Elephas maximus indicus: one gene and its partners. The protein of the gene in region 1 purifies or fractionates together with the protein of each later gene. This does not show direct contact. Links are inferred from orthologs where the notes say so. Each region holds a gene or a part of one and is shown in the gene's direction. Other genes may lie near its edges. The genes, in order: RAD18, SLF2, POLH and SHPRH.

What was found.
Region 2: the proteins of RAD18 (region 1) and SLF2 purify together in Homo sapiens (affinity purification with mass spectrometry; 3 studies listed by BioGRID and IntAct, with this or other methods). This does not show direct contact. The link is inferred for Elephas maximus indicus from reciprocal best matches to the Homo sapiens genes RAD18 and SLF2.
Region 3: the proteins of RAD18 (region 1) and POLH purify together in Homo sapiens (affinity purification with western blotting; 7 studies listed by BioGRID, with this or other methods). This does not show direct contact. The link is inferred for Elephas maximus indicus from reciprocal best matches to the Homo sapiens genes RAD18 and POLH.
Region 4: the proteins of RAD18 (region 1) and SHPRH purify together in Homo sapiens (affinity purification with western blotting; 3 studies listed by BioGRID and IntAct, with this or other methods). This does not show direct contact. The link is inferred for Elephas maximus indicus from reciprocal best matches to the Homo sapiens genes RAD18 and SHPRH.

Annotation. Positions count from the first base shown.
Region 1 is NC_064838.1:33,902,188-33,909,311, reverse strand, and holds the start of RAD18 (E3 ubiquitin-protein ligase RAD18), read left to right. Parts: upstream 1-4,116; 5' UTR 4,117-4,215; coding exon 4,216-4,266; intron 4,267-7,124. UniProt on the Homo sapiens protein: E3 ubiquitin-protein ligase involved in postreplication repair of UV-damaged DNA. Postreplication repair functions in gap-filling of a daughter strand on replication of damaged DNA.
Region 2 is NC_064834.1:52,571,138-52,578,394, forward strand, and holds the start of SLF2 (SMC5-SMC6 complex localization factor protein 2), read left to right. Parts: upstream 1-4,245; 5' UTR 4,246-4,424; coding exon 4,425-4,564; intron 4,565-7,144; coding exon 7,145-7,188; intron 7,189-7,257. UniProt on the Homo sapiens protein: Plays a role in the DNA damage response (DDR) pathway by regulating postreplication repair of UV-damaged DNA and genomic stability maintenance.
Region 3 is NC_064819.1:108,007,201-108,014,322, forward strand, and holds the start of POLH (DNA polymerase eta), read left to right. Parts: upstream 1-4,099; 5' UTR 4,100-4,189; intron 4,190-4,553; coding exon of another isoform or gene 4,554-4,658; exon of another isoform or gene 4,659-5,243; intron 5,244-7,122. Other genes in the region: XPO5 (exportin-5), read right to left, coding at 163-345, 479-616, 1,899-1,971, 3,227-3,348, 4,554-4,658. UniProt on the Homo sapiens protein: DNA polymerase specifically involved in the DNA repair by translesion synthesis (TLS). Due to low processivity on both damaged and normal DNA, cooperates with the heterotetrameric (REV3L, REV7, POLD2 and POLD3) POLZ complex for complete bypass of DNA lesions.
Region 4 is NC_064819.1:216,764,796-216,772,157, reverse strand, and holds the start of SHPRH (E3 ubiquitin-protein ligase SHPRH), read left to right. Parts: upstream 1-4,362; 5' UTR 4,363-4,569; intron 4,570-7,362. UniProt on the Homo sapiens protein: E3 ubiquitin-protein ligase involved in DNA repair.

The DNA of each region.
Region 1 (7,124 bases):
ATTTGATTGGGGTGTGTCTTAAATCAATACGTGTAAAAGCACTGAGAACAGAGCTTTTCATACAAAACAAATCAGAAAACCAGTTATCAGCAAGTCAATACCAACTTATGGTGACCCCATATGTATCAGGGAGCCCCGGTGGCTCGGTGGTTAAGAGCTATAGCTGCTAACCAAAAGGTCAGCAGTTGAATCCATCTGCTGCTTCTTGGAAACCCTATGGGGCCAGCAGCTCTCCTCTGTCCTATAGGGTCACTATGAGTCAGAATCGACTGGACGCTGACGGGTGTGTGTGTCAGATTAGAACTGTGCTCCATAGGGTTTTTAATGGTTAATGTAGGTTACCAGGTCATTCTTAACCATTTGTACCACCCAGGGACTCTGCTTTGAATACAAGTACCTAGTAAATGTCAGCTACTATTGTAATGGATGTTGAAGTCCTTTGTGCAAATGCTGTATACTATTGCTATTACCCAATGAGTATTTGCAGACAGGCTGGGAAAAATCAGGGGCCAGAGATTCCTTTCAACAAGATCCCAAAGGAGTGAAGCCAAGGCTTAACTTCTCTGAACTCCAGTGTCCTTTTCTGTAGAATGACTATAACAACTTTACCTCTGCCTACTTCACAGGGAAGCTTGTGATGGTTAAGATTGTGTGTCAACTTGGCTAAGCCATGATTCTCAGTGTTCGTACGTGAATACACCCATGATGGGATCTGCTGTGAGTAGTCAATCAGTTGAAAGGGAGTTTCCTTGGATATGTAGCCTGCATCCAAATATAAGTGGATGTTTGTTCGAACTTTTGCCCTTTCTGGATCCTACAGCTGCCTCTTGTTCATCTGACCTCCGGTTTCTCAGACTTGAGCTAGCAGCTTACCTGCTGATCTTGGGATTCGTTGATCGTCACAGCCTGTGAGCTATAGTCCTGCTCTCTGACCTGCTGATCTTGGGTTCACCAGCCCCTGTAGCTATGTGAATCAGGGGAAGGCTTGCAGTATTGCCTGCTGATCTTGGGATTTGTTGACCTTCACAGCCTGTGAGCAAGAGCCCTGCTCTCCAACCTGGTGATCTTGAGTTCGACAGCCCCTGCAGCTATGTGAATCAGGGGAAGCCTCTATTCTGACCTATGGACTTGGCGTGCTCCAGCCTCTTTAAACACGTGAGCTGTTTCCTTGATATAAATCTCTCTCTCTATGTATATAATTACATGCTTTACTGGTTTTGCTCCTCTAGAGAGCCCAGCCTAAGACAAAGCTCAAGTGCCTGGCCCATGGTAAGCACAGGGTGACAGTGACAAGCTGCAGGGCTCTGCCCTTAGCCAAATATCTGTTCTTACTTGCTGTCCGTGAGACATGGTGCAACAGAGGTCCCCATAAGTCAGTAAATAAATGCTGAGTTGAGCAGACAGGCTGGAAACTGAGCTGGTCAGTGTTTCTCATGTGGGCAGCAGGCCCTCTCATATTATCAGTGAAAGTGTAAATGTATTGGTATGAAATTTTTTGGAGAACTATTTACTGCTAGCTATCACAGTTTTAAAAGAGCAACAAATTGGCTGAGTAGTTCCATTTCTAGGACATCACCCCCCAGATACCTTGGAAAAAGTGTGCCAAGGTTTATACAGGTGAATGCGTTCACTGCAGCTCTTTGTAATAGTGAGAAACTGGAAACAATCTCAACGTCCTTGTCTTAGTTACCTAGTGCTGCTGTACCAGAAGTACCACAAGTGGGTGGCTTTAAAGAACAGAAATTTACTTTCTCACAGTTCAGGGGTGTAGAAGTCAGAATTCAAAGTGTGGCTCGAGGCCCTTCCTTGTTTATTTTCAGCTTCTAGAAGCTGCCAGCAATCCCTGGAGCTCCCGGGCTTATAGACGCATCTGTCCCCTTAGTCTGTCTTCCTCTTCCCCCTGTGTTCCTGTCTGTATGTACATATTTGCTCTTTTTGTAACTCAGAAGTGATTAGGTTTATGACTCACCATACGCTGGTATGACTTCATTAACATAATAAAAGTTGTTGTCATTGTTAGGTGCCCTCAAGTTAGTTCGAACTCATAGCGACCCTATGTACAACAGTACAAAACTTTGCCTAGTCCTCCATCCTCACAATTGTTGCTATGTTTGAGCCCATTGTTGCAAACACTCTGTTAGTGCATTTCGTTGAGGGTCTTACTCTTTTTCATTGATCGTCTACTTACCAAGCATGATGTCCTTCTCCAAGGACTGATCCCTCCTGATAACTTGTCCAAAGTACATGAGATGAAGTCTCGCCATCCTAACTTCCAAAGAACACTTCTTCTAAGCCAGACTTATTCATTCTTCTGGCAGTCCATGGTATGTTCAATATTCTTTGCCAACACCATAATTCAAAGGCACCAATTCTTCTTTGGTCTTCCTTATTAATTGTCCAGCTTTTGCATGCATGAGAGGTGATTGAAAACATCATGGCTTGGGTCAGGCATACCTTAGTCCTCAGAGTGACATCTTTGCTTTTCAACACTTTAAAGAGGTCTTTTGAAGCATATTTGCCCAATGCAATACATCATTTGATTTCTTGACTGCTGCTTCCACGGGCATTGATTGTGGATGTGAGTAAATGAAATCCTTGACAACTTCAATCCTTTCTCCATTTATCATCATGTTGCTTATTGGTCCAGCTGTGATGATTTTTGTTTTCTTATGTTAAGGTGTAATTGATACTGAAGTTTGTAGTCTTTGATCTTCATCAGTAAGTGCTTCAAGTGCTTTTTACTTTCAGCAAGCAGGCTTGTGTTATTTGCATACCGCAGGTTGTTAATGAGTCTTCCACCAATCCTGATGCCACGTTCTTCTTCTAAAAGAAAACTTCCTGTTTCCAAACAAGGTCACACTTACAGGTACAGAGATTAAGTATTCAACATTCAATCCATATCACACCTCAATATGGGAGTAGATGAATAAATTTTGGTACATCTATTTTATGGATTATGTAGCTATTAAAAAGAATAAGGTAAACTATATGTACTAGCATGGAGAGATCTCAAGATGTATGGTTAAGCAAACAAACCAGGGCTTTGTACCAGTTCCTACCAGTTTGAAACCCCTGCTGAGAATTTGCATTTCCACCCCAGATATACTGAATCAGAATCTACATTTTAACAAGATCCCCAGGTGATTCCAACAAATTCCCAGGCAGTTATACATAAGAATCACCTGGGGTCTTGTTAAAATGTAGATTCTGACTCAGTATATCTGGGGTGGAAATGCAAATTCCCAGCAGGGAACTTCTTAGAAAATGCACGTTCTCAGCCAGGGTTCCAACTGGAAGGAACAGGTCAAAGCCCTGAAACAAATGCACACAAGAAAAACAAGTTGTCTGAGTTATGCATTTAATATAACATTTGTGGGGAAAATGTATCTATGTTTATATTTGCATAGGAAATACACGGAAGTCTGTATGCCGTTGTCACCAATGATCATGAAGATGGCACGGAACCTGGCAAAGTTTCTTTCTGTTATACATAAGGGGCCCCACGAGTCGACCAACTTGATGGCAACTAGCAACAACATAGTCCAAAGTTAACAGTGATTATCTCTAAAGAGCGGGACTAACTTTTAAACGAACATTTTCGTTTAGGTAAAAGAAAGAGCTTCACATTTAAAACCCAGAGGCTAGATTTGGAGTTTGGTCGATACCACTGCTTGACTTAAGGAAACTTCACTTTTTTGGACTGCATCTTCTTCTTGTGTAAACTGACAATGATAATACCTACCTCCCGGTGTTGTGATAGGGAGTGGCGTGAAATAATGGATATGATAACCCCTGTTCAGAGCAGGCTCAGATCAATACAGCAATCAGGGAGGGCGACCCGAAGGAGGAGGGATAAGCCTGACCTCGAAAGATTTGGCAAGGCTTGGATTTGGCTTATTTTGATTCCTGAATGCCTTTTCCTAACATTCGATAGCCATCTATTTGTCAAAGATCTGGTACAAAACGGTCTCCAAGCCTTTGAATCACCCATCCTTCCCCTTCATCGGTGAGAGGCAGGGCATAACCCCGGCGCGTGCGCAGTGCGAGCACCTTTGGCTGCGCCCCGCCCACGTACTACAGCTCCCGGCAGGCTTCGCGCAGGCCGTAGCTGCGTCGTGGACTGATGTCGTGGCTCAGTAGCGCGGGGAATTTCGAGTGGCCGTGGAGCGCGGGAGACCAGTGGGAGGCGGACCCCCAGCTTCCCCAGAAGCGACCATGGACTCCCTGGCCGAGCCCCAGTGGCCTCCAGGCCTAGCAGTCATGAAGGTGAGTGCTTCGGAGAGGGAGGGGGCGCCCAGGCGCCTGCCAAAGGCCGGACCAGCGTCAGGGGAAAGGACGAGTTGGCGAGCTGGGCCTGGGTTTTCGACCCTCTCTGCCTTTTGCTGTCCGCGTGCCTCTGCGCCTCAGTTTCCTCCCCTGAGAAGTGGCGAGGACAAGCCTCGGTGTGTCATGGTGGGCTGAGGTTGGCTTATGGAACCGGGTATTCTGCGGTTCAGCCATAACAGTAACAGTGACATCGAGAAAAACCAGTTACTGCAAACGGTGACAACGACGATGACAGCTAACCCTTTCAGAGGGCTTACTTTGTGCCAAGCAGTCCATAAGCTCTTACAGTACACTAGTTGAAAATTTACCAAAGTGACATTGGACATGATTTTGTGAGGACACTGCATCGAATAACATCCTGTAACGAAGCAGGTAATCTCTTTTATATTCTTTTTCATTTCTTCTAATTACTCTGTAGAGGCTTCGTGCTGGGTTGTGCTAACATATGCCCTAATTCCTCCCTACCATGTTCTAACAACTCTCTAACAATTCCTCATTTCCTTCTCTTTTAGACAAAGAGATCAGGACTCAAGGCTCAGCACTAGCCTTCAATAGATTAAAAAAAAAAAAAAAGATAGTTTCATTTAAATAAGCATTTATTTTTATGGCTACTTCCTGTTTTTTGGCAAGGCATACCAGTTTTTGATCACCTCTGGATTCCTGCTAGATTTGCTCAAGAACATGTTCACTTTGCTGTGCTGGATAGCATTTGTTGCTTGTTTTTTTTACCTTTGTGATTGTGGGGAGGATCACTTTCTTGTTCTTTTCCTCGTTTGTAAACTGGGGATTATGGTATCTGTTCCTCTAACTTGTAAGACTGACTTTGAGGATCAAGTGAAGGGACTTGGGGAGGCTAGCATAATGATAAGACCTTGTTCTTCCTACTGTCAGCAAGTGTCATCTCTTGTGCTTGGGGACTTAAGACATCCTCATTTTACACTACAAAGAGTGGAAGGATCCAGGAGAACTGTGGTTTCGAAGTTGTGGTGGCTTTGGTGCCAAGATAGAGTGGAGAAAAGCATAAATTTTGAGCTCCAATTGTTCTGGGTTAAATCTGGACTTTGCCTCTTATTAACTGTGACCTTGAGTCAGTTACTTAACCTCTTTGAGCTTCAGTATCCTCAACTCTAAACTGGAGGCAAAAATGAACAGTTCATGTTGTTCTTAATTGTTGTCAAGTCAGCCTCTGACTCATGGCGACCTCATGCACAATGGAATTAGACTGTTGTAATGCATATTTCATTGGCAGATTTTTGAAAGTAGATTGCCAGGCCTTTCTTCCTGGCCTGCCTTTCTTCCTAGTCTAGAAGCTTTGCTGAAACTTGTTCAGCATCAGAGAAACATGTAAGCCTCCACTGACAGATGGGTGGTGGTGACTTTGCTGGAGTGGAACCTCAGTCTCCTATATGGAAGGCAAGAATTCTACCACTGAACCACCGCTGCTGTCTGAAAACAGTTCATAGGATTGATTAAACGAGTTGATGTATGTGGGTTGGGATCCTTTTGCTTTGTTCATTGTGGTTAACACGGCATATAGTGGGTGCTTAACAATTATTTGTTGACTGATTGAAGGTATCTGAAATGTAGTAAGAATTGAATTAATTTATCTTTATTACTATTAGCAGAAGCCTGCACTGGTGGTGCAGTGGTTAAAGCACTCAACTGCTGACCAAAATTTGACAGTTCAAACTTAACACTGCTTGCAGGAAAAAGATGTGACAGTCTGCTTCTGTAAACATTTACAGCCTTGGAAACCCTATGCGGCAGTTCTACTCTGTCCTAAAGGGTTGCCAGGAGTCGGAATCGACTGGATGACGGTGTGTTTGGTTTTGGGGTTTATTGTTATTAGCATTTAATGAGTTCTGTGCCCTTCCTTCTCCTTTTTATTTGCTGTTTGAAGATTGAATTAGATAGAGAAAGCCAAAGAGCTCTGTAACCTGTACATCTACTGGCTTTGTAGACTTCAGCATATTTTATGTGTTTTCACAACTTCCACAGTGTTCTCCAGTGGCAGCTTCCCTGTCTTCTCTGACTGTATGTATACATATGTGTATAAATCCAACCAGACTCCAGCTCTTTATATAAATAAATACAGGGTTCAGCACCAGAGAGTGTTCAATGCTGGGGCTGACTGAACCCATATTGGGCTCACATTTGAATCACGGAATATTGAGGTGGGGAAACCAGCCCCCTCCAGTATTTTAATACTTTTTGTAATGTATCTGCCACTTTCTCAGTTTTGGGATACTGATGCTATAGACTTCGTAAGATTGTTATGAAGATTAAACTACATAATTACCATTATTATGTATTATTGTTGATTTGGTCTCTGATTTTTTTTTAATTTCCATCAAAACATGAACATTTTCCTATTGCATTAATTATTCTTTGAAAATGTGTTTTTTAATGGTTATGTAATTTCTTCATGTGTACTATCAGTAACAGCGTTTTCGTTTTGGTTACTTTTTCCAAATTTAGGCAATATACTAACATGGTTTAAGAAATACATAAAATGAGAAGTAGAAGCCTCCCCTCTACCTTGTCCCTCATTTCTGCAGTTTTCTGACCCCCAGTGTCCATTATCTGTTATTTTCCTATGCATCTTTTCAGAATTTCTTTATATGTATATGTAAGATAAAAATGGAATGCATTCTTACCCCACCCCGCCATACTTTGGACAAAAGGTAGCATACCACGTGTGTTGCTTACACCTTGCTTACTTCTTTTACCTCACTACGTATTTGGGCCATCTTTCCGTATCAATACATAGGGGAACACCCTCTTTTCCTTTTTAGTAT
Region 2 (7,257 bases), on another chromosome or scaffold:
CTGTATTTAAATAAATATATATGTATATATTAGTACATGAAGAAGTATAAGTTTTGCAAATCAACACTGCAGTGCACCAATGTTCTCTATTCCATTCTTTTTTTTTTTTTTAATGTGGTCTGTGACCCATTACATCAATTTAAAAACCCTCTATTGAATGGATTGCTACCTGAGTATGAAAAACACCTGATTACAGGCTTGAGTCCCTAGAACCAGTATTTCCTAAAACATTTCTCATACTTCAGACATACAAGGAGTATCTTGGCCTACCACCATTGGTAAATGAATGACTCCGGGAGAAATTTGGGAATATATATAAATGCTTATTTTACTAGTTATTGAGTTTTACAATTATCACTCATTTTGGGAAAGTGACGTGATACTGACTTTCTACTTACGGAAATAATACAAAGTTTTTTTCTAGAATAATAAATGTATTTAAGGTTAAAAAGTAATTTAAAGAAAAATATTCAGTAAATAATAAGAAACATTCAGATATGTCAAAAATCACAAAGATGTTACCCCTGTATCTGAAGTATGGGAAACACTATCTTGCTACCATTCCATAACGAAATAACGAGAAACTTATTTTCCTTAACATCAGATCTGCTCTTGCACATTTTTACTAATTATATTTGGCTTTTCCCCAGAAGTCCCTTAAAACCAAGCCAGTGCCTTTTCCAAGCACTTGTTTGGCCCTTTTGAGTTCAGTATCCATTTGCAAAGTGATTTGTGTGGATCTTGAGAGGCTGTGAGCTCGCCTTCCCTTTTTTTTTTGTTTTGTTAAATCCTCACATGGTCTTTCTCTGCTAGGCTTTTGAGTTAATTATTTCCTGTTTCTCTGAGTCTGTTCCTTATTCCCCTTCCCAGGTCACCCTCTACCTCCACCTCCACACACACAGACTCTTGACTTCCCGCAACTCTGCCACAAATTGGTCCTTGTCCCTTGGCTTGCCCAAGAGTACTCTCCAACAAGGCCTTGGAGTTTATACCATAACGCAGCAATCTCAGAGCAAAAATATGTCATTACTGCAGAATCAGAAGTTACTTTTAGAGTTCCCTATTCTTGTAACATTCTTCCTAACTTAACTAGCCTTTTGTTCTCTTAGTCCCAGCCTGCTGAGCTCTAAAGTACTGCTCCATCCAATCTGCCCAAGTTGTTTTTTTCTCTACGTAACCGCCTGGATCTTTGACATCCGTTACACTCCTCTCAGTACTCCCACCTTGGGCGGGATTTTCCCAGCAAACTGTTGTTCATGTAACGTTGTTTCTCCTGCTGCCCCATCCCTTCCCATCAAGGCCCAAGCTTGCTCTCCTCCTTTTCTCTTTAACAATTCAGGGTGCTAAACTGAGCCACACTGTACCCAGTAGAAGTTTCATCCCTAGAAGCCACTCCATCCTTGTGGTCTTTGCTTCCGTATTCCCATGCCTAGAAATCTTCCCAAAACTAGCCTTTTATAGTTATCTAGCCTTAGTTGCTCTGAACTATCTTTCTGATCCTGGCTGAGGTCTCATTTTAAGCCTCTAATTTAGTCTTGTTTATTTGTTGTCTTCCCCCTCATTCCACCTGTTTTACTTTACCCTCTTCTTTGCTCATGTCCATACCTGGGCCCTTTTAACATCTTTCACCTAGTATACAGTTTCCTGGCCATCTATTTCTGGCCCACTACAAATATGTGTTTAAAAAAAAAAACCCTTACATAAACCAGATGTGTGTGTGTACACGCGTGTGTTTATGTTTGTGGTATATATGTACACATTTAAAGTATGAAGAGGGGTATATACACAAAATAGACTCTCCGACACTATATTGGTGGGGGGTGCATAGAGGCTGCCAGCAGTTCTGGTTAGTATGTTGAGCATATCTCACCCTGAAACCCAAGTCTGTATTATCTCAGACAAAGAAAAGCCTTGATACTTATTGAGGATTTAGATAACTACTTCCCTGTTAAGAAGAGATTTTTAAAATTGTGTTTTCATTATGACTCCATCTCCATTTATTGATCAAGGGATTTCTTGCCTCACTTAACTCCTTAATCTGTTGCTTAGATTAAGAAAATGTGAAAACTATTGTTTGGTATTGTGAGTATAGGCTCTAAAGTGATACCTTGGAGGTCGGATGATTCAAATACTGTAATTCAAGAAAAGCAACCAATTGATCATGCAGAACGTGTTTTTATGCACTATTCTTTGTAGGGACTGAGCAGGCAATGAAACGAATCAGATTAAATGTTTTACAGAAGTGCTCTGTTACAGAAGCAGGAACTTCCTAGTGTAGAAACATCAAACAGAAAACACAAAATCAAGATAGGAAATAATACATGTGAAAAGCCCTTAAATCAATGCATAAATTATTCATTTGACACATTTTGAGCACCTATTATGTTCTTTTTTATGTAAGGAACAATGCTAGGTATAGTAAATTCTCAGTTGATAGCAGAAAAGCGCCTTTTTTTTTGGTATTTCCTTTCTTGTACCACTACTAGAATATATAGCTGTGCACAGAGGCCCTCAATAAACTTATTGGATGGATGAGAGACCTGTATGTTCACTGTTTACCATCCACCTTCCACTTTGCCAGCCTGTTGGCCACTTTCCCCATACCCATTGCAGTCAATTCCGACTCACAGCAACCCTGCAGGACTGAGTAGAACTGCCCCATAGGGTTTCCAAGGAGCTGCTAGTAGATTCGAACTGCCAACCTTTTTGGTTAGCAGCTGAACTCTTAACCACTGCACCATCTTGGCTCCGCTGGCCACTTTACTACTCATTAACTCTTCCTCCTGAGGGATAATGAGAGGAGCACTGGTGACGCAGTTAAGTGCTGGACTGCTAACCAAAAGGTCCATGGTTCAAATCCATCAGTTGCTACATGGGAGAAAGATGTGGCAGTCTTCTCCAGTGAAGATTTACAGGTTTGGAAACCCTATGGAACAGTTCTATCCTGTCCTATAGGGTCGCTATGAGTTGGAATTGACTCGACCGCAGTGAGTCTAAGGGATACTAAGGAGGGGAAAGAAGGTGGAGTTCAGGTCAGCCAGGCATGCTTAGCAACCAAAGCAATTAAATCTTCGTATGATAAAATTTAAAGGCCTGTTCAAATTCTTTCGAGTCATTTAAGATTTTGTTCCATCCTAATTGGTTGAACAAGCTTGTCAGTTAGAGGTTGGGCATCCTTGAGATTGCTATTTTGGTTTTTATAGTTTTGGGGTAGTAGTATTTGACCTGTCTCTGGGAGTATGTACAAGAAGCTAAACTCAGCCTAAGAGTCTGTCTTGAGACCAAAAGAAAGATAATGTACTGAGTGCCTGTTACACGAGACTAAACTGTGCAGTTCACATTGCTTATCTATTATGGTTTACAATCATGCAGGAAAGTGGGTATTATATCCACTTTAGAGATGTGGAAACTGAGGCACAGAGATAATCTGACCAGTCTCTCATCTAATAAGGAAAACTCTTTGGCTAACAGCCTCCAAAGCACAAGCCCTTTAGGAAGGTGGACTGGAGATTGCAGGAGGCTTTCAATAATCTATGCTGTTCACACTTACCATGAGTAATTGAAAGCTGACCCTATGTTCCTTTTATGGACCTCCATGGAACCTGGTTGCAGAGATTTTATGGATAACTCATTTCAGCAGCTGAGAAACAAAAATGCTTTTATGGGATAAAAACGGTCTTTATTTCAATAATTTTTTTTTTCCTTTCTTTAAACGAAAGAGCAAAATCTACCACAAACAACAAGAACGCCCACATAATGGGCAAGTCTTCAGATTCGGCTGTACGGACTACTGAGAAAATGGTGACAGCATTAGGGCACTTTGGCCTAAGATGTTTAAGAAGCGATGTAATGAACAGCTGGGGGTTTCTGAGGGACACTTGTGCGGCACAGGGAGCCCAACCGTTGACCATCCTCACCGACAGCAGTTGGCCGGGTCGGTTTGCTTCTGCAATCCTAGCCCTTCGACCTCCCCTAGGCGAGCTTCTCCGGCTGCCGCAGCGCCCATGGACCTGTGTCTTCCCGCCCCCGCGCGCCCGCCAAGGCCGACGCTGCCTGGACTCGGCTGCGCGCGCCCCCCGCGCACGTGACGGGACGGGAGGGGCAGTTTTCCTCCTCCCCGCCTCCTTTCCGAAACTCCACCTTCCCCTGAGAAGCTGAGCTTTCTATTGCTCCACTACCGGAATGGCCGCTGCGTCAGCCAATCAGGACGCGGCTCCTGAAGTAGGACACGCCCCCTCCTGGTCCTCAGGTTCCTTCCCGCTCACACCGGAGTCACTTCCGAAGAGAGAGAACCGCCATGAAGAGAGAAGGGGGTGCCGCCCACCTCTGCTCCGACAGCCTCTCTGAGTCCCAGCAGCAAGACGGCAACCACGCACCCAATTTCGCCTGCCCCAGCTCATGCCGCCGTCGCCAGCGGCGCCGACATGACAAGGCGCTGCATGCCCACTAGGCCAGGTTTCCCCTCATCCCCAGCCCCGGGGTCGTCGCCCCCGCGCTGCCACCTGAGACCCGGCAGTACCGCCCCTGCTGCAGCGGAAAAGACAACAGAGAGTCCTGGGGACAGGTACCGTGCAGAGGGGCTGAGAAGGGGCCGGGTCGCGGGGGCAAGGGTATAAGGGAGGATTGAGGACGGCCGCTTTTCCAGTTCCCGCCATCCTCCGCGAGCTCAGGCCTTGCGTTCTGGGCCTGGCAAACCCCCGCCCCGCGTCCGCGCAGGGGCTTCTGGGACTACGAGTTTCTTTTTTTGTACTTGCGGAGCTGTTTGGGTCTAGGACCCCAGGGAGCCTGGGTGGCTACGGAGAACTCGCCTTAGGTAGACCGTGGTTTTTGTGCTTTGCGATAGCTTGACTCGGGGCCCTAACTGCCTGATGCATATTTAGGTCTTTTTCTCTACATTGTCGGTTTTACTGGTCCTAGTGGTTTAACAGTATAAAACTTTTCTATATTGTGGGTGAAGTTAGGTCAGGTGTAATGAGGAAAGCCTTCCACGAATTACATCTATATAGCCCAGTGTACACGATAATTTATACTTAACATATAGGTTTAGGAACGTGATATGGTTTCTCTTCCAGTAACTTTCAGCCTCTCTAGAGGCCAATTTCTTTGTAAAGATTTCGTGAACCAACTTTGTGAGAGATGTGTAATAAGATGGAGAATTTTATCAAATGACATCCTGTGTCGATAAAACGTGTTTAAATTCTATATGCACTTTTTTCTGTCTTTTTAAGTTTAAAAGCTTGTGACAAATTTAACAGTAAATTTATGTTCTAATATTGTTGTACAGGTCCACAATGCCTTATTTTAATTCAGAAAGCTATGAAAATCAACTTTTCAGTAAGTTTGGCACCAAACCTCATTTGGCAGCTTAACCTGACTATAGTTGATGTAAGGCTATTTATGGTCTTTATCACATGAAGTGTGAATATTCTAAGTTTTACTGGGGAGTCTGAATGTGCAGCCCCACACCCCACTTGGATGTACTTGGATACATCCAAGATAATAACCCCTTTCTAAAATGTGGTACTTTCAGAATTCTAATACAAATTTGGCCCCAGAAGTTTCAGATAAGGGTTTGTGAAGCTGTTGTAAATAATTAGTTTAAAAAAAAAAAACAGTTATAAAAACGTAGTGGACATTTCTGTGCACATGAACTTGCATAACTCTTCTTTCCTGAAAACTACATTGATGGCTATTTTAACAAATTTCTTGTTTTACTCAAAATCATTTTTGTTTTTCTGATGTATGTATTGAAAAGGAGTCTAATACCTAATGTTTCAGGGAAGAAACATAGTATTGTACTTAGTACTTATTGTAAAAACATACTGTTATCTTGTTTCGAATTAGCTGCTTCTCTCTTCTTTCCCACCTCTGTTTCCTCAACCAGGAAGGCCTCATCCTTCCTTCTAAAGGACCCGTAAAAGGACCCGTAGCACCTCTTCCTTTACTCTTGGAGTTAATTTGCCAGATACAATTTATTTTATGTGAACAAATGCACAGATACTTCCTTAGCCTGTCACTCATTCATTTCTTACCACTTAGCTTTTCTTCCAACTTCTAAAACATTGTGGATTCATTTCTTACCACTTAGCTTTTCTTCCAACTTCTAAAACATTGTGGATTCTAAGTAAAGATGGGCATTATTCTTCTAATGTAACCAGTAAAACGTACAAGATGTAGAAAAAGCTTAACCTTCAAAAAAAAAAAAAAAAAGCTTAACCTTCAAGGGATTTGGATTGTTTAAGTTTTCTCTGCGCATTCCAACCTCACAGTAAATAAATGTTTAGGGAAATCTATAGTCAGCAGCTTATCCTCTTTCAGTAAGAACGAATAGATTTTAGAAAAATTTGCCGGAAAGTAATTTTTTTTCACTCTCCATGTAATAACATCCCATATATGCAACTGACAAATAACTCTAAATACATGAACAAATCAAAATACAAATTTGGTAATATGTTCCTATCTCACTTTGTGTTCATCTCTCACTCCTGTTCAGAGAGTCTGTTCAGATGTCACTCAGTTTTGATAATCTCCATTATTCATTCAGCAAACATTTATTGAGCACTGTACTATACCAAGCTTTGGCGATATTAAGGAATAGGATCAGATCCCTGTCCTTAAGATCTTCATTCTACCACATAGCAGTGAACTTTTCAGTCTTAAGAAGCACTACTCTACCAATTCCCTGAATCCACGGTCCAGTCTTATCATTTTAGCATTATAGATTATATAAGCCTCATTTGTGCTGCTAACCAGAAGGTTGGTGGTTCAAGCCACCAGCCCCTTTGAGTGAGAAAGTTAGAGTAGTCTGCTTCCATAAAGATTTACAACCTTGGAAACCCTATGGAGTAGTTCTACTCTGGCATATAGGGTTGCTGTGAGTTGGAATGAACTTGAGGGCAGTGAGTTTGCTCTTTGGATTTTTGTGTTTGTATAAATGAACTCCTGAAGGAAGTGGTGAATCATATTTTCAGTTTTTTATAATCAGCTTAGCAAAGCATTATTTTCAGAACTTGATTATTTGAACCAGATAATGAAATCCAGCCTGTATTCTATAAATCTGACTCGCATTTGCCATTTAATCTGAATTACTGAGGTTTTAATATTTGCCTATGTGATACAATGTTAGTTATGCTTTTATTTTCAGAAATCAGTCAATTACAGATTTCTTCAAACCAGCTTCAAAACAAGGTATGTATGCTGTTAATGTATTTCTTGCTGGGTCTTTTTGGGAAGAGGGGGATGGATTAAATTTTTAAA
Region 3 (7,122 bases), on another chromosome or scaffold:
TTTCCCATGATCTACCAGGTTCTTTTTTACTTACAAAATGGCCTTTTCTTTTGCTAAAGCAGGCACTCTAGCTCCTTGTTGAAGGATTAGTTTCTTAAAAAACAAAGAAAAAAGCCACTCACGTTAGGAAATAGGACTTTCTTGGGGTAGGGTATCCCTTACCACTTGCCGGTACTTGTTTAAATTTTCTTGAAGTGTGTTAAGTAGAAAAGCGAAGATCCTTTCCATGTTCTGGGTTAATGTTTGCTGGATATCCCTTCTTCTTTGAGGGGGAAGTGTCTGAAAGGTCACCACATCCTCCGCCAGTCGCAAAAGGATGAACATCACTAATTCTGTCTGTGTTTCCTATGCCAACAGAAATAAGCTAGTTAAATTAAATTAAAATGCTGACTCTCACCCCCCCACCAAAAAAAAGACAGTATAAAAAATTTGAAGATTCCAGAACAGTATATTGAATTGATTTATCCATTCTTCATACCCCTTGTTTGGAAAGAGCATCCAATTCTATTAGCATGTCAGGCCAATGCTGTGGCCACTCTCGCTTGATCATTTCTACTACGATGCGAGACAGAACATCTTTAATGTGGTTCTCCTCTTCCAAAATGTTTAATGTTCCCTGAAAAAGAATGAGAGATACTGAGAGATCTGCAAGATCGAATTTAAGGAACACCGGGCTGTAAAAGTATATAAAACTCATGAGCAGGCCTGCTTTTAAACTAAGTACAACAAACAAACCTGTTCATCATGTTTGAGTCACTTACCCTGCATTCCCTCTAATCATTCTTCCCACGTAAAGCTTAAGTGAGGGTTGTACCACTAATAAAATGCCGCTGAAGAGCAAGGAAGACATCACAGCTCTCCCTTCAAAACGAAGAAACTCTCATATAGATTGTTTCATTTTTTGAGAGCGTCACAACAGAAAAGTATAGAAATAAGGAACAAGAGTATGCTGAGAGAATGTTAAAACTGGAGGGTCTGGAGATGCAATTAATATTTTACCAACAGTTACAGTATTAGAAGATACAGAAAGATTATCACTAGGTTTCTCTTATTCTGAAGTTTGAAAATGTCAAGACTAAGGAAGTATGATTTCTATTGTCGCCCCAGAAACAGCACTAAAAAAGTATTAGCTAAATAAGTTAATCAGTAATTATAAAAGCTTTTTTTTTTTCTATTGAAGACACTAGATTTTGGAGATGAAAAGGGGTAGGGACTCCATCTTTCATACCCTTTTGTTTAAAAGAAAGGAAAGAAAAAAGGCTATAGACTTTAAACATTTAAAGTCATCTTCTAACTGGGGAAACAATTCATTCTACATATTTTTATTACTAGTATCATACAGTACAGTTTGGAATAAAAGATAACAAACAGCAAAGTTTTAATCTTTTAAACCTATGAATCCATTCATTTGCTGAAAATGTTTAATCTCTTCTGTCCTATCTTTATATTTTAAAAACAGAAGCCAGCACGTAAGGGATGAAATTAAATCTAGTAAGAGAAGTTTGGGAGCCCTGATGGAAAGGTGGTTAAGCTGCTGAGAGGTGGGCAGTTTGAACCCACAAGCTGCTCCACAGGAAAAAGATGGGGCAGTCTGCTTCCGTAAAGATTTACAGCCTTCGAAGCCCTATGGGGCAGTTCCACTCTGTCCTGTAAGGGCATTATGAGTGGGAATTGACTTGACTGCATTGGGTTTGGTATTTTTTGGTTAAATGTAATGAATTATGATTTCTTGTTAATGGTAGTCCTTCTACCTTAAAGGTACACATTTAACATTACACCAAACATGCTCTTTGACCTACATAGAACCAGTGAATTTTTATGCAAATGTTAAATTGAAGAAGTCATGTTTTGTCTAAACTACCTTGGAAACACAAGTCTTCCAACCAACCATTCCTTACATTTGCAATCAGCTCCATGACACTGTTCTTCAGGTATACTTTCTCCAATCGAGACATGCTGTTCCATCGAAACCTGGCCACCAAAAAAGAGAAAGTCAGAAACAGAACCCATTAGAAGGCTTCTCTTCAGAAGAAACTAGTTTTGATTCCTGTGTTAGATTATGTTGGCAATTTCATTAGAAAATTATACTTTTGATTTTGTACCCTTCAAAGAATGGGCAAAAATAGTCCACATTTAACCAAAATGCTAGAAACAGAAAAATTCCAGGGGTTTATATATACAGCACTCCATTAACCGGAATTCACATAGGATTTATGCACACATCAGCTTCCCCCATGATTTTATTAATAGACTGAAAACAAATATACATCTGGGACAACTACAATATAGTCGTTTTTTCCAGAAAACACAATCTGATAACACCAACTACCTTATTACGCTGGTTTACAAGGTAATAACAGCACAATTCCAGAAAACCTGAGGCTAAGTCTTAAAAATGGATTTCTGTGATAGGCATTGGAGGAGTTTTCAGTTATTCACATATAATATTGCTTTGGAAGTGCCATTCAGAGACGGTACACACTCAAAACGTAAAAGAAAAGAAAATCAAAAGTAATGTCCAATCACAAATTTATTTATCTATACGCAGTATGGAAACCCTGGTGGTGTAGTGGTTAAGGGCTATAGCTGCTAACCACAGGGTCGGCAGTTCGAATCTGCCAGGTGCTCCTTGGAAACTCTATGGGACAGCTCTACTCTGTCCTATAGGGTCGCTATGAGTCAGAATCGACTCAATGGCACTGGGTTTGGTTTGGGTTTTATACACTGTATAATCCTAAAGAGGCTTTGAGATCTGCCGGCATATATAGATATTCAATAAATGCTGGGTGAGTGACTAGCAGCTATTATTTTTTGAATGCTTAGTATGTAGCAGGCACTTTACAGGATGAAGAAATTGAAGAGCAGAAAGGTTCAGTCTTGAATGAGAATTCCCTGGAGGATCTGATAATTCTGGGTATTATTCCTTTTTCCCTTGAAGAATGCTCTATTCTGCTTACTTAAAGAACATCTAGGGAGCCCTGGAGGCACGTGACTACTAACTGAAACGTTAGCAGCCAGTCCAAGGAAGAAAGATGTGGCAGTCTGCTTCCATAAAGATTTACAGCACTGAAAACCCTGTGGGGCAGTTCTGCTTTGTCCTATAGGGTGGCTATGAGTTGGAATCCACTCCACGGCAACAAGTTTTTAAAGAACACCTCTGAGTTATCCAAGAAATAAAGATTTGCTCTCTTACATACTTCAGTGGTAAACTCGTAAAATGCCTTACTTGACAACGTGTTCCAGGATCTGAAGGCCAAAATGCCTGACGATGGCAATTTGTGTTTTCTCAGCCAGCCTCAGGCCACACGGGACACAAATAGGGCACTTTTCTTTAAACTCTTCACAAAACTGAAAAATAAAAAGTTAGTGTTTCTCTTGGGCGTTAAGACAGTGTGGAGACTAAATAAGCTTCGTTCTAAGAAATTCTAATCTGATCAAATCTAGATTACTACTGTATGAGTAAAGAAATGATAAACATTTCTTTCACTCTGATGGTTCCAGATTTTCCATGGTACGGCCTTACTAATATTAAAAAAAAAAAAAATGACCTAAAGGAGTAAAAAAAAATTGTTAACGATATACCCCTGCAGTACATAAAAGTGAAATGACAATTTCTAGGATTTGTTATACGTCAACAAATCCTGCTGTATTTAGAACTTAAAAGTACAGAATTTAGGTGATGAGTATACCCAGGAGTCACTGCAGTATTATCTCTACTTTTCATGTCTGTTTTAAATATTCCATAACAAAAAACAGACTAATAGAAGCCAGTTGTTTTTTATTTCAAACCCTGGCGCATACATCCATCTACTGTAAAGTTTCCTCCAACTGGCGCTATTTTATGAAATTGCACACTTAAAATATATACAGCACAAATATTTTTTCTAAGCAGCCATTTCTCAGAGCTCACAAACATTGTTTGATAGGGGTATAAGCTCTTTTTCTAATAACATCCCCATTTGTACTAGGATTCCGGAATTGTAACACATGAGTCAGTACCAGGACCAAAGCATCCGGGACTCAAGAAAACTACTTTCAGGAAACCCAAGTGCCCTTGTTAAAATGCAAAGTAAGCGGTAGAAGTTCATCTTTGCTCAAGACTATCACACACTAAAAAACGTGGGGCGCGTAAGAACTAGCCCAGAAATGCCCAAGACACAGAAGAGGGGTCAGCGAGAGGTGTATGGATGTAAGTAAAGGTGTACTAGGTGGACTGGAGCTTGGTTAGGATGGATCAGGAGAGTGTATCAGTAGCGAAACGTTTAGTGCAGGGAAAACTCTAAAGAAAGAGATTGGTGTTGGGGGCGGGATCAACACGTGCGCCACCGGAAGGCGAAGAGATGCGGGATTTGGAGCGCAGCCTGCGTGAGGAAAACGGAGGGACGAAGGGCAAGCGCGGCGAGCAGTGAAGGCGGGGGAGGGAGAGGCGTGGACCGCCGCCAGGGAAGGCCCCCCCAAGGGTTGGGGAAGGAGGTCCAGGGGACCGGGGCCGGGGGAGTCGGGGTCAGGGGAGGGTCTCGGACCAGGCCCGGGGGCGCCAGGACCCCGGCTACCTTGAGGGCTTCCAGCCGGTAGCGCTGGGTGGAGCTGGGGTCCATCATGACCGTCACCGCTTTCACCAGCTGCTCGCACAGCGCGTTCACTTGATCCATCTCCATGGCTAGCGCCACGCGCCGCCAGCGCGCAACGCGGCCGTCCTGAGAGCACGAGGCACGGACGGCTCCCTTGGCGGCACCACAAGCTGGTACCGGGCCGCGCTGGGCTGGGGGATGGGGAACGGGGGGAGGAGCGTGAGCTGCTGAAGCTCGAGCCAGGAAGGTGCCGGCGCTGCGCACGCGCCCGAGCCGCCAGTGCGCACGCGCCCACGGAAGTGGCGGCAGCCTTGTGACGTTTACTGCGGTGGGCGGAGCGGGCGACGGAAGGGTCGCGGTGCGCAGGCGCGTCAACGGTCCTTATCGGAGTGCGCGCAGTCTGATCATCTGTCAGAAGGGCTTGCGGCTTAGCGCCTAGATCTTGGCTGAACCACACTCCTGGCTGTGCGGGCGCCTGCCCGGGCAAGGATCCTTCGCGACCCTTGGCCCATTTCTCTGTCGACACTGGGAATAGATCTCTCTCGAACAACTGGACTGGTCCTGGAAAGGCGACAAGATATTCAAGACCCTTTCATCTCCCTTCCAGTGGACTCCGAACCCAGCAACTGCGGCTTCCGCCGTTGACAGTTCTGCCAGGTGTTTATCACACTGGTAAGAGAGTTTAGAATTGTGCAGTATCAATGTTTTTAGACTTTTCATGCTGCCTTGGCTATTGGTTTTGTGATACAGCAGAGGCTGGTAACAAAATTAGCCCCCCCCCCAATTTTTTTGGGTGGGGGGGGCCTAAGTTACGTGAAAATAGAAACGTAGTTAAGGCCCTGGTATTGTCCTCTAAGGGGATTTTTCTTTTAGAAAAAATATTTTTCGCTATAACTCTTAAATCTCCCTCTTCACTTGTACTTACTTTCCTGGATATGTCATCATTTCATAGGCACCAAACTTGTTTTGTACATATTGGAATGACTCTAGATATTTAAAGATGAATAATTACAATTATTGAAGGTTCGTGTGGTATTGACAATTTGCTATATATACGATTTCAAAGTAGCGTAATTCTCGTTCCCAAAGCATGGTTTTGGTAGAGTGTGTTTCATTTTCCATCCTTAAAAAGCTCTTGCTTTCTCCACCAAAATACATAAACTGAACACCTCAACATCTTCATTATCTGTTAAAGCCTGCATATCTGTTTCTGTACTCACTAAAATGTTCACTGGGCTTAAATCACTGCTTCCTATGCACACTCCAGTTCTGATATTTGTATCTAATATGATACTTTGGGCTGTGCTGTTTTTGTTACAATGCATTTACTATTTTTACTCAGGCATTATCTGTTCCAGTACTACATAAAAGCCAATACAAAATAAAGAAATTTCTCACATGCTGTGGTTTTAACTTACACATGTTTAAAGTATCACATTCTGCCTGTTTTAGATGAGTGGTCAATAGGAATTTATAAGGAATTAATGCCTTGAATACTCTGATTTTCTTCATTCTTTGTTGCTCTTTCCACTTGTTCCAGCTTTGTAATTGTGTGACACTTTTTTTTCAAGGTGTATGTCAATTTTTTACAGGCTTTTTTAAGAATACAGTTGGGTGCTTGCTCAACTGTATAGCCTGTTTCTCAAATTTAAATCATCAGTTACTGGTGTTTGTTTCCATAGGTATCTTATTTACTTTAAGTTAGTGGTTTTCAAATTCTGCTGCATATTAGAAATGCCCAGGGGAGTTTTTAAAAATCACAATGCCCAGGAAGCACCCCATACCAATTAAATTAGAATCTCTGTGGGTGGAAACCAGACATCGGTATTATTTAAAAGTTCCCAAATGATTCCAATGTGCAACAAAGTTTGGGAGCCACTGCTTTACTTTTATTCCTTCTTCCAGATCAGTAACAATGTTAGATGATAACATTAGTCTGTACCCTCCCTCAAATATGTAGGGTGTATTCTTCCAACTACCATCCATTTCTTTGTTTATGTGTGTATCTGCGAACAGTGTGCAGTATTGTTTGTGTTCAAAGTTTACATAAATGGGTAGAAAATCACCATTAGAACACTACAATAATGATTATTACAGCAAGATCCACTGATGAGTGGTTAAATTAGTGGTGAAAGTTTGAGGAGAAGTAGGATATTATCATAGTCTCAAAGTATCTCCTTCAAGATGATCATTAGTTACAAAAGGAAAAATAGTAACTTTTCAGTGACAAATCCAGGGAACACTACCTTGTTGTTAGCTGCCTACAAGTGGTCCTGACTCATGGAAACCCCATGCACAATTGGATCAGACCATTGTGATTCATAGGGTTTTCAGGGGCTGATTTTCCAGAAGTAGGTCACCAGGCCTTTCTTTCTAGTGTGTCTTAGTTTGGAAGCTCCACTGAAACCTGTTCAGCATCATAGAAATACGCAAGCCTCCAATGACACTTGAGGTGCACCAGCTGGAGACTGAACCCAGATCTCCTACTGGAAGGCAAGACTCCTGGTTCGATACACTTAGAAAAGCTTGCCAAAAAATGCATAACCTCATT
Region 4 (7,362 bases), on another chromosome or scaffold:
GTGGTACCTTAGGATAGACCTTGAAATGTTCTTTTTGACAAAGAATGCAACACCATTCCTCTTCAAGTTATCACTCCCGACATAGTAGATCATATAACTGTCCAATTCAAAATGACCAATACAAGTCCATTTCAGCTCACTGAAGCCTAGCATATCAATCTTTATGCATTCCACTTCATTTCTGACAATTTCCAATTTTCCTAGATTCATACTTTGTACATTCCATATTCCGATTATTAATGCATGTCTGCAGATGTTTCTTCTCATTTTGAGTCATGCCACATCAGCAAATGAAGATCCTGAAAGCTTGACTCAATCCACCTCATTAAGGCTGACTCTACTTTGAGAAGGCAGCTCCTTCCCAGTCATATTTTGATTGCCTTCCAAACTGAGTGGTTCATCTTTTGGCACTACATCTGACAATGTTCTGCTGTTATTCACAAGGTTTTCACTGGCTAATTCTTTTCAGAAGTAGACTGCCAGGTCCTTATTCCTAGTCTGTTTTAGTCTAGAAGCTCAGCTGAATTCTGTCCACTATGGGTGACTCTGCTGTATGTGAATACCAGTGGCATAGCTTCCAGCATCACAGCAACACACAAGCTCCCACAGTATGGCAAACTGACAGACATGTAGGGGGGTGCTTCCTTAAAAAGCTAGAAATAGAAGTTTCATACAATACAGCAATCCCACTCCTTAGTATACACTCTAGAGAAATAAGAGCCATCACACAAGTAGATATATGCACACCCATGATCATAGTAGCACTGCTCGTGACAGCAAAAAGATGGAAAGAACCTAGGTGCCCATCAACAAATAGATAAACAAATTATGGTACATACACACAATGGAATGCTACACAACAATAAAGAACAATGATGAATCAACCAAACATCTTACAACACAGATGAATCTGGAGCGCCTTATGCTGAGTGAAATCAGTCAGTCACAAAAGGACAAATATTGTATGAGACCACTATTATAAGAACTCAAGAAAAGGTTTAAACAGGAAAGAAAACATTCTTTGAGTGTTACGAGGGTGGGGAGGAAAGGATCGGGGAATTCACTAACTAGACAGTAGACGAGAATCAGCTTAAGTGAAAGGAAGAACAGCACACAATACAGCATAAGTCAGGAAAACTGGATTAATGCAAAAGCTAAGAAGTTTCCTGAACACAACCAAACACTTTGAGGGACAGAGTAGCTGGGGTTGGGGTCTGAGGACCATGGTTTCAGGGACATCTAGGTCAACTGGCATAACAAAGTTTATTGAGAAAATGTTCTGCATCCCACTTAGGTACGTGGCATCTGGGGTCTTAAAAGCTTTCGAGCAGCCATCTAAGATGCATCAATTCGTCCCAAACCACTTGGAGCAAAGGAGAATGAAGAACACCAAAAACACAAGGAAAATATTACCCCAGGAGACAAAAGAACCCCATAAACCAGAAACTCCATCAGCCAGAAGAACTAGATAGTGCCCCACTACCAAAAATGGCTGTCCTGTTAGGGTACACAACAGAGAGTCCCTGACAAAGTGAGAGAAAAGTGCGGTGCAGAACTCAAATTCATGGGAAAAGACCAGACTTAACAGTGTGACTGAGACTGGAGGAACCCCTGAAGCCATGGCCCTTGGACACTCTGTTAACCCAGAACTCAAACCATTCCTGAAGCCCACTCTTCAAAAATTTAACTGGACCATAAAACATAAAATAATACTCATGAAGAGTGTGTTTCTTAGTTCAAGCAGATACAGGAGACCAAATGAGCAGCTCCTGTCAGGGAAGCAGGATAAGAAGGCAGGAAGGGAAAGGAACTGGTTGAATGGACACAAGAAACCTGGGGTGGGAAGGAGGAGTGTGCTGTCACATTACAGGGATTGCAACTAATGTCACATAACAACATGCATATAATTTTTTGTATTAGAAATTAACCTGAATTGTAAACTTTCACCTGAAGCACAGAAAAGAAATCAAAGGACATATTACATTGGGCAAATCTGGAGCCCAAGACTTCTTTAAAGTGTTAAAAAGCAAAGATGTCACTCTGAGGACTAAGATGTGCCTGACTCAAGCCATGGTATTTTCAATCATTTCATCTGCATGTGAAAGCTGGACAATGAATAAGGAAGAACAAAGAATTGATGCCTTTGAATTATGGTGTTGGCAAATATACCATGGACTGCCAGAAGAACAAACAAATCTGTCTTGGAAGAAGTATAGCCAGAATGCTCATTAGAAGCAAGGATGGTGAGACTTCATCTCATGTACATTGGACATGTTATCAGGAAGGATCAGTCCCTGGAGAAGGACATCACGCTTGGTAGAGGGTCAGTGAAAAACGGGAACACCCTCAATGAGATGGACAAAGTGACTGCAACAAGGGCTCAAATAGCAATGATTGTGGGAATGGTGTAGGACTGGGCAGTGTTTCATTTTGTTGTACACAGAGCACATAACTGACTTGATGGCATCTAACAACAACAACAGCAATCTTTATGGGAGCCGAGTACCAGGTCTTTCTTCTGTAGAGCCACTGTGTAGGTTGGAACAACCATTGGAACAACCAATCTTTGCTACACATAAATTCATCAGTTTCTGGCCTCAAAGGATTTAACTCTGCAGTAACTCATCTACTTCTTCTTAACGAGTCACCCTCCTTGAGAACAACTTATAACATTCATTTGTAAAAAAGATGACTCGAGTTAGGGCTAGAATAAAGCTTACTGTCCCCCAAAGGAACAGGATCTATAGGTTTGGCCTAGTGAAGATACACAAGAAGCAAGTGAACTGACAGCCCTCACACTTATAGTCTGAAGAAGAAATAGCTGAATTCTTTGAAAACTGGTTGGTTCACTGGTACAAGCTGTTTCTGATCAATAGATTCCCAGGTGTGGAATGCCATTAGATTATCAGCATCTAATAGGTGCATGAACTCAGTGTCACGGGTGAACAGCTGTCTCACATCTAAACTTCTAAAGAGTCAGTAAGCAAATGTAAACCATGTTTTCTGAAATTAGTTCTGGTAATTCTAATACTGTATTCAACATTATTACGCCATAGAGAAAATTTTCAAATACACAGGGCACTCTGCAAATACAGGATTCAACATACCACTGGAAAATTCAAAAGGGAGAATTTTGTTTTATTGTAACCACTAAATGCCAGTGCATAGAAATATCTCTCATAGTGGATCTGGTGTTGAATAGCTTGCATAGGATTACCATAATTTTCTCTATAGAGATGAGTTAATCCAATCAAAGAAAGCAAACATGAAATGACCCAGTACTTTTTCTTTCTTTTTTAAAATATTTCTGCCTGGCACCAGCTGGACTCAACCCAACTATGGGCCCAATTTTCCTCTCCAGTGGTGAGAAGTGAGAAAAAATGATCAAAGACAACCTTTTACAGCACAATATACATTTAAATACTAAGTTTCAAATTACACTTTCAGAATAAAGTTTCCATTATGTCCTGTACTTGCAAAATGACTGGTTTCCAACAAAGAGGGACTCACCTGGCCCACTCTCCCCGCAACAGGACTACTTTTTCAACTTGCCTCAACTTGCCTTGAATAAGGTAACTGATTGCATCGATTTTTACAAGGTTTAGTTTATGTAAATGCTTAGAGGTCTGTGGTAAAGTTGTGTCCTACCCAGGATATGGATCACCTTGGACTATCTGCAACTAAAGCGAGTTTACTCTTAGGCAAGAACTTACTTTGTGCTTCTGTGGGGTGTCCCCCTCCACAGCAGTATGCTGAGTCCTTATGTGGCACTCACATTGAGTAGCTGATGTTTCCTGGGGGTCATTTTACGGGCACCTAGCCCTGAAGCCTCCCTTGACTATTCCAGAGTTAACTAAGTCTACCTCTATGAGGAAGCGGCTGCCTCTCACTGAAGGGAAGGACATACACTCGACGACTAGCTTCAGCACAATGCAGGTAGTTGTCCTCTCATCTTAAAACCTTTACTTACATTTATCTTGAAATTCTTAAAAACCATTTTTTAGGGGGAGATAAGATTCATCCGTACTTAATAGGTGGCTGCTTTCCAAAAGCAATAAAATGGTAGCTTTTTACAGAAGTTTTTCAGCCTTTTTGTCACAGGCACAAACCTCGTACACCTGTCGCTCCAAGGCGAGCCCAGGGCCCTCGGCGGGAAGCCACGCCCACATCTCTTGGTGCCCCGCCTCCTCCTTAGTGGTTCCAGCCAATCCTATAGACGCTATGACGAAGCTCAGCGCTTTCGCGAGACTACAACTGCATCCTTAGCTGGGCTTTAGCCTTGTGGACTTGCGCAGAAGAGACTCTTGAAGCCATCGCGGGAGAAAGGGGGCGTGGCGCCTCCGACGTGCGCGTTCGCCTTGACCCCACGCTCCAGCGCGCGCCCGGCACCGGGGAGCAGTGGTTACTGGGCGCTCCCGGAACCCCAATACAATCCAGCCTAAAGCGCGCGTGCTCCCCCCGGGTGGATTCTCTGTTTGATGGTGAATGCGACTCCGGGATCTGCGAAGGCGTTAGAGGGATCCGGGCGTTGGTGCTGAGAAACCTAAGAGTTTTGGATAACCAGCCAAGGTAGGGTGGGTGATGGTAGGGTCGGGGGTCAGAGGTTGGGGAAGGAAGGCATCTCTGGCCTCCCGGGTCACGGAAGGAGGACTCGGGGTGTCCCGGGGACTGGAAGCTAAAGGCTGAGCGGAATTCGCAGCGCGAGTCTCCCCCACCCCTTCCCCATCCCGACGCGCGGGCCTCTCGATCCCACAGCTCTCCCCGGCGGAGCTGGGGACGGGGGTCCGTGGGAAAGGAGGCGGTGTTGCTTCCCTTGGATTGGGGTTGCGGTTTTTTGTTCCAGTGACCACACCAGAGTGTCCGAGGGGCCTCGTCGCGCTCCTCGGCCTAGCGGTAGCTCGTTTGCCTGGCCTGCTAGCAGCGATCCGGCGCCGACAGCCCTGCTCCGACTCCTCGATCCGCTTTTGAGTCCTTTGGAAGAGAACTGAGTGGGTGTCTCCATTCGCCGCAGAAATGTCCTGGAGGCGGGAAAAGAAAAGCTAGACGCCTAGCTTCTTGGTGTGCGGGATTGTAATGTAGTAAAAGGGGAGGCCAAGGCTTCTAAATGAGTGGCTTAAAGTTCTGTTATATTCGCGTCAGAATCACCCTTGCACTACATTTCTGCTGAGGTACTTACTAGGTTTATCCATGAAGATCTGGTGTCTGATGATTGATGGTCACTCTCAAATAGCAGTATTAGTAAGAAATTACCATTAAGCTTGTGCCTTTTTTCCAAATGACTTGACAGTATCCACAGTGTTGGGTGTTCTTCTGCTTGTATTTAGCTTGAGGCTTTAACGGAGAAGAAATAAAATCATTTAAAAGTCATTACCGTTGTGCATGGCTTCGCCCTGAGTTTGAGTGACTCCAGAGCAGCGAACAACAACCACTATTTTTAATTATTCCAGTGGGAGATGAAACTTCTGTGAATAGAGTGGATCCACAACATCTGTATGGTCACGGAAAAGACTGGTCACTCATGCTGAAGCAGAGTAGCGGTGAGCAGCAGTGGAATAAGTGTGTCTGTGCTGGAAAACCTGCTTTTTCTAGAGCTTAGAAGCACCAGTAAGCTTGCAGATGAAGGGAATGAAATAGTTTGCTTTTCAGAGAATATTATGTATTCCTTTGGACCAACTTGAAAGAGCTATACTTTTAGAATTATTAAATCATTTGTTGAGAGCCTTTTTCAAGTTTATGTGACTAATGTCTGTTTTAGAGTTCAAGAGATGAAATTCAGGAGCCCTGGTGGCACAGTGGTGAAAGCATTCGCTGCTAACTGTAAGGTCGACTGTTCGAACCCACCAGCTGCTACTCCAAAGTTGCTCCACAGGAGAAAGATGTGGCAGTCTGGTCCCCTGAAGATTTACCTTGGAAAACCTGTGGGGCAGTAACCTATAGGGTTATTATGAGTCGGAATCAACTCAATGGCAATGGGTTTGGTTTTTGGTTAGTGGCACAGTAGTTAAGTGCTTACAAACCAAAAGGTTGACCTTTTGAACGCACCCAGCAGCTCCCTGGGAGAAAGTCCTGGAGATCCTGTAAACATTACAGCCTAGCAAACCCTGTGGGGTAGTTCAGCTCTGTCACACAAGGTCACTATGAGTCAAAATCAACTCAATGGCACACAACAATGGGTGAAATTACTCTCAATCTGCGGAGTTATCCCTACAGAAAAAGGAAAGATTGTTGTAATGCTGTGTTGTTGAGTGAGCATTTCCGCCATCAATAATGATTTGGGTTTCTTTCATTTCTCTTGCCTAAGGTATACCTGGAGCCCTGGTGGCACAGTGGTTAAATGTTTGGCTGCTGACCAAAAGGTTGGCAATTTGAATCCACCAGCCGCTCCTTAGAAACCCTATGGAGCAGTTTTGCTCTGTCCTTTGGGTTTCTTTTTCCCTTTTTTGGTGAAGTACACATTGGTACAGCAGTGTGGCAAAATGTATACTCCTTGTTTTCCTTCACAGCTTAAGCCCAGACTTTCCAGGAATTCATTGTAATTCAGGATTTTGGTGTGTCTTTTAATGAAGAGACAATAGTTTGGGGAAAAAAAATCTGAATTTAATTCATGTCCACTTGTTGTATTGTCTTATTAACTTATGTTTCAGTTTATTTTTCTAGCAATCTGTCTTTGTTTTCTAGCAAACAGATACACTTCAGTCAGTTTACTCTCTCTCATTCTGGGCCAGGAATAGTAAAAAAAAAAAATAGTTTCATGTTATCTGTAGTCTTCTAGGAAACTCTGGTGGCGTAATGGTTAAGAGCTACAGCTCCTAACCAAAAGGTCGACAGTTCAAATCTACCAGGTGCTCCTTGGAAACTCTATGGTGTCATTCTACTCATCCTATAGGGTCGCTATGAATTGGAATCAACTCGACGGCAACAGGTTTTTTTGTTTTTGTTTTTGTTTTTTGGTAGTCTTCTAGAGTATAGTTAAACGAGAGTTCTTCAGAAAAGAAGTGTGAGTAAAGTACATTCAGTTCTTACAACAAGGGAAGTTGTTCAGGGAATTAGAGATCTTCGTTTCACTGTATTGAGTATGTCATTTTTATGCTGGCACTGACCTGGCATTGGGGTATAACACTGAATAGGATACTCTCCCTGCCTGGCTTTCAAGTAGTTCAAAGTCATTTAAGAACCCTGTAACAGTTGGGAGAAGGAGGAGAGGCCCTAACTCAACTTGGCTGGTCGTGGAAGGCTCTCCAGGGAAGATTAGTACAGTAATAGGCGGAAAAGAGTGAAAAGAACATTTCAAGCAAAAGGTCTTTTACATTTAATCGCAGGGCAGTGAAAATGTGGTCCATATAGAAAACTGCACATAATCGT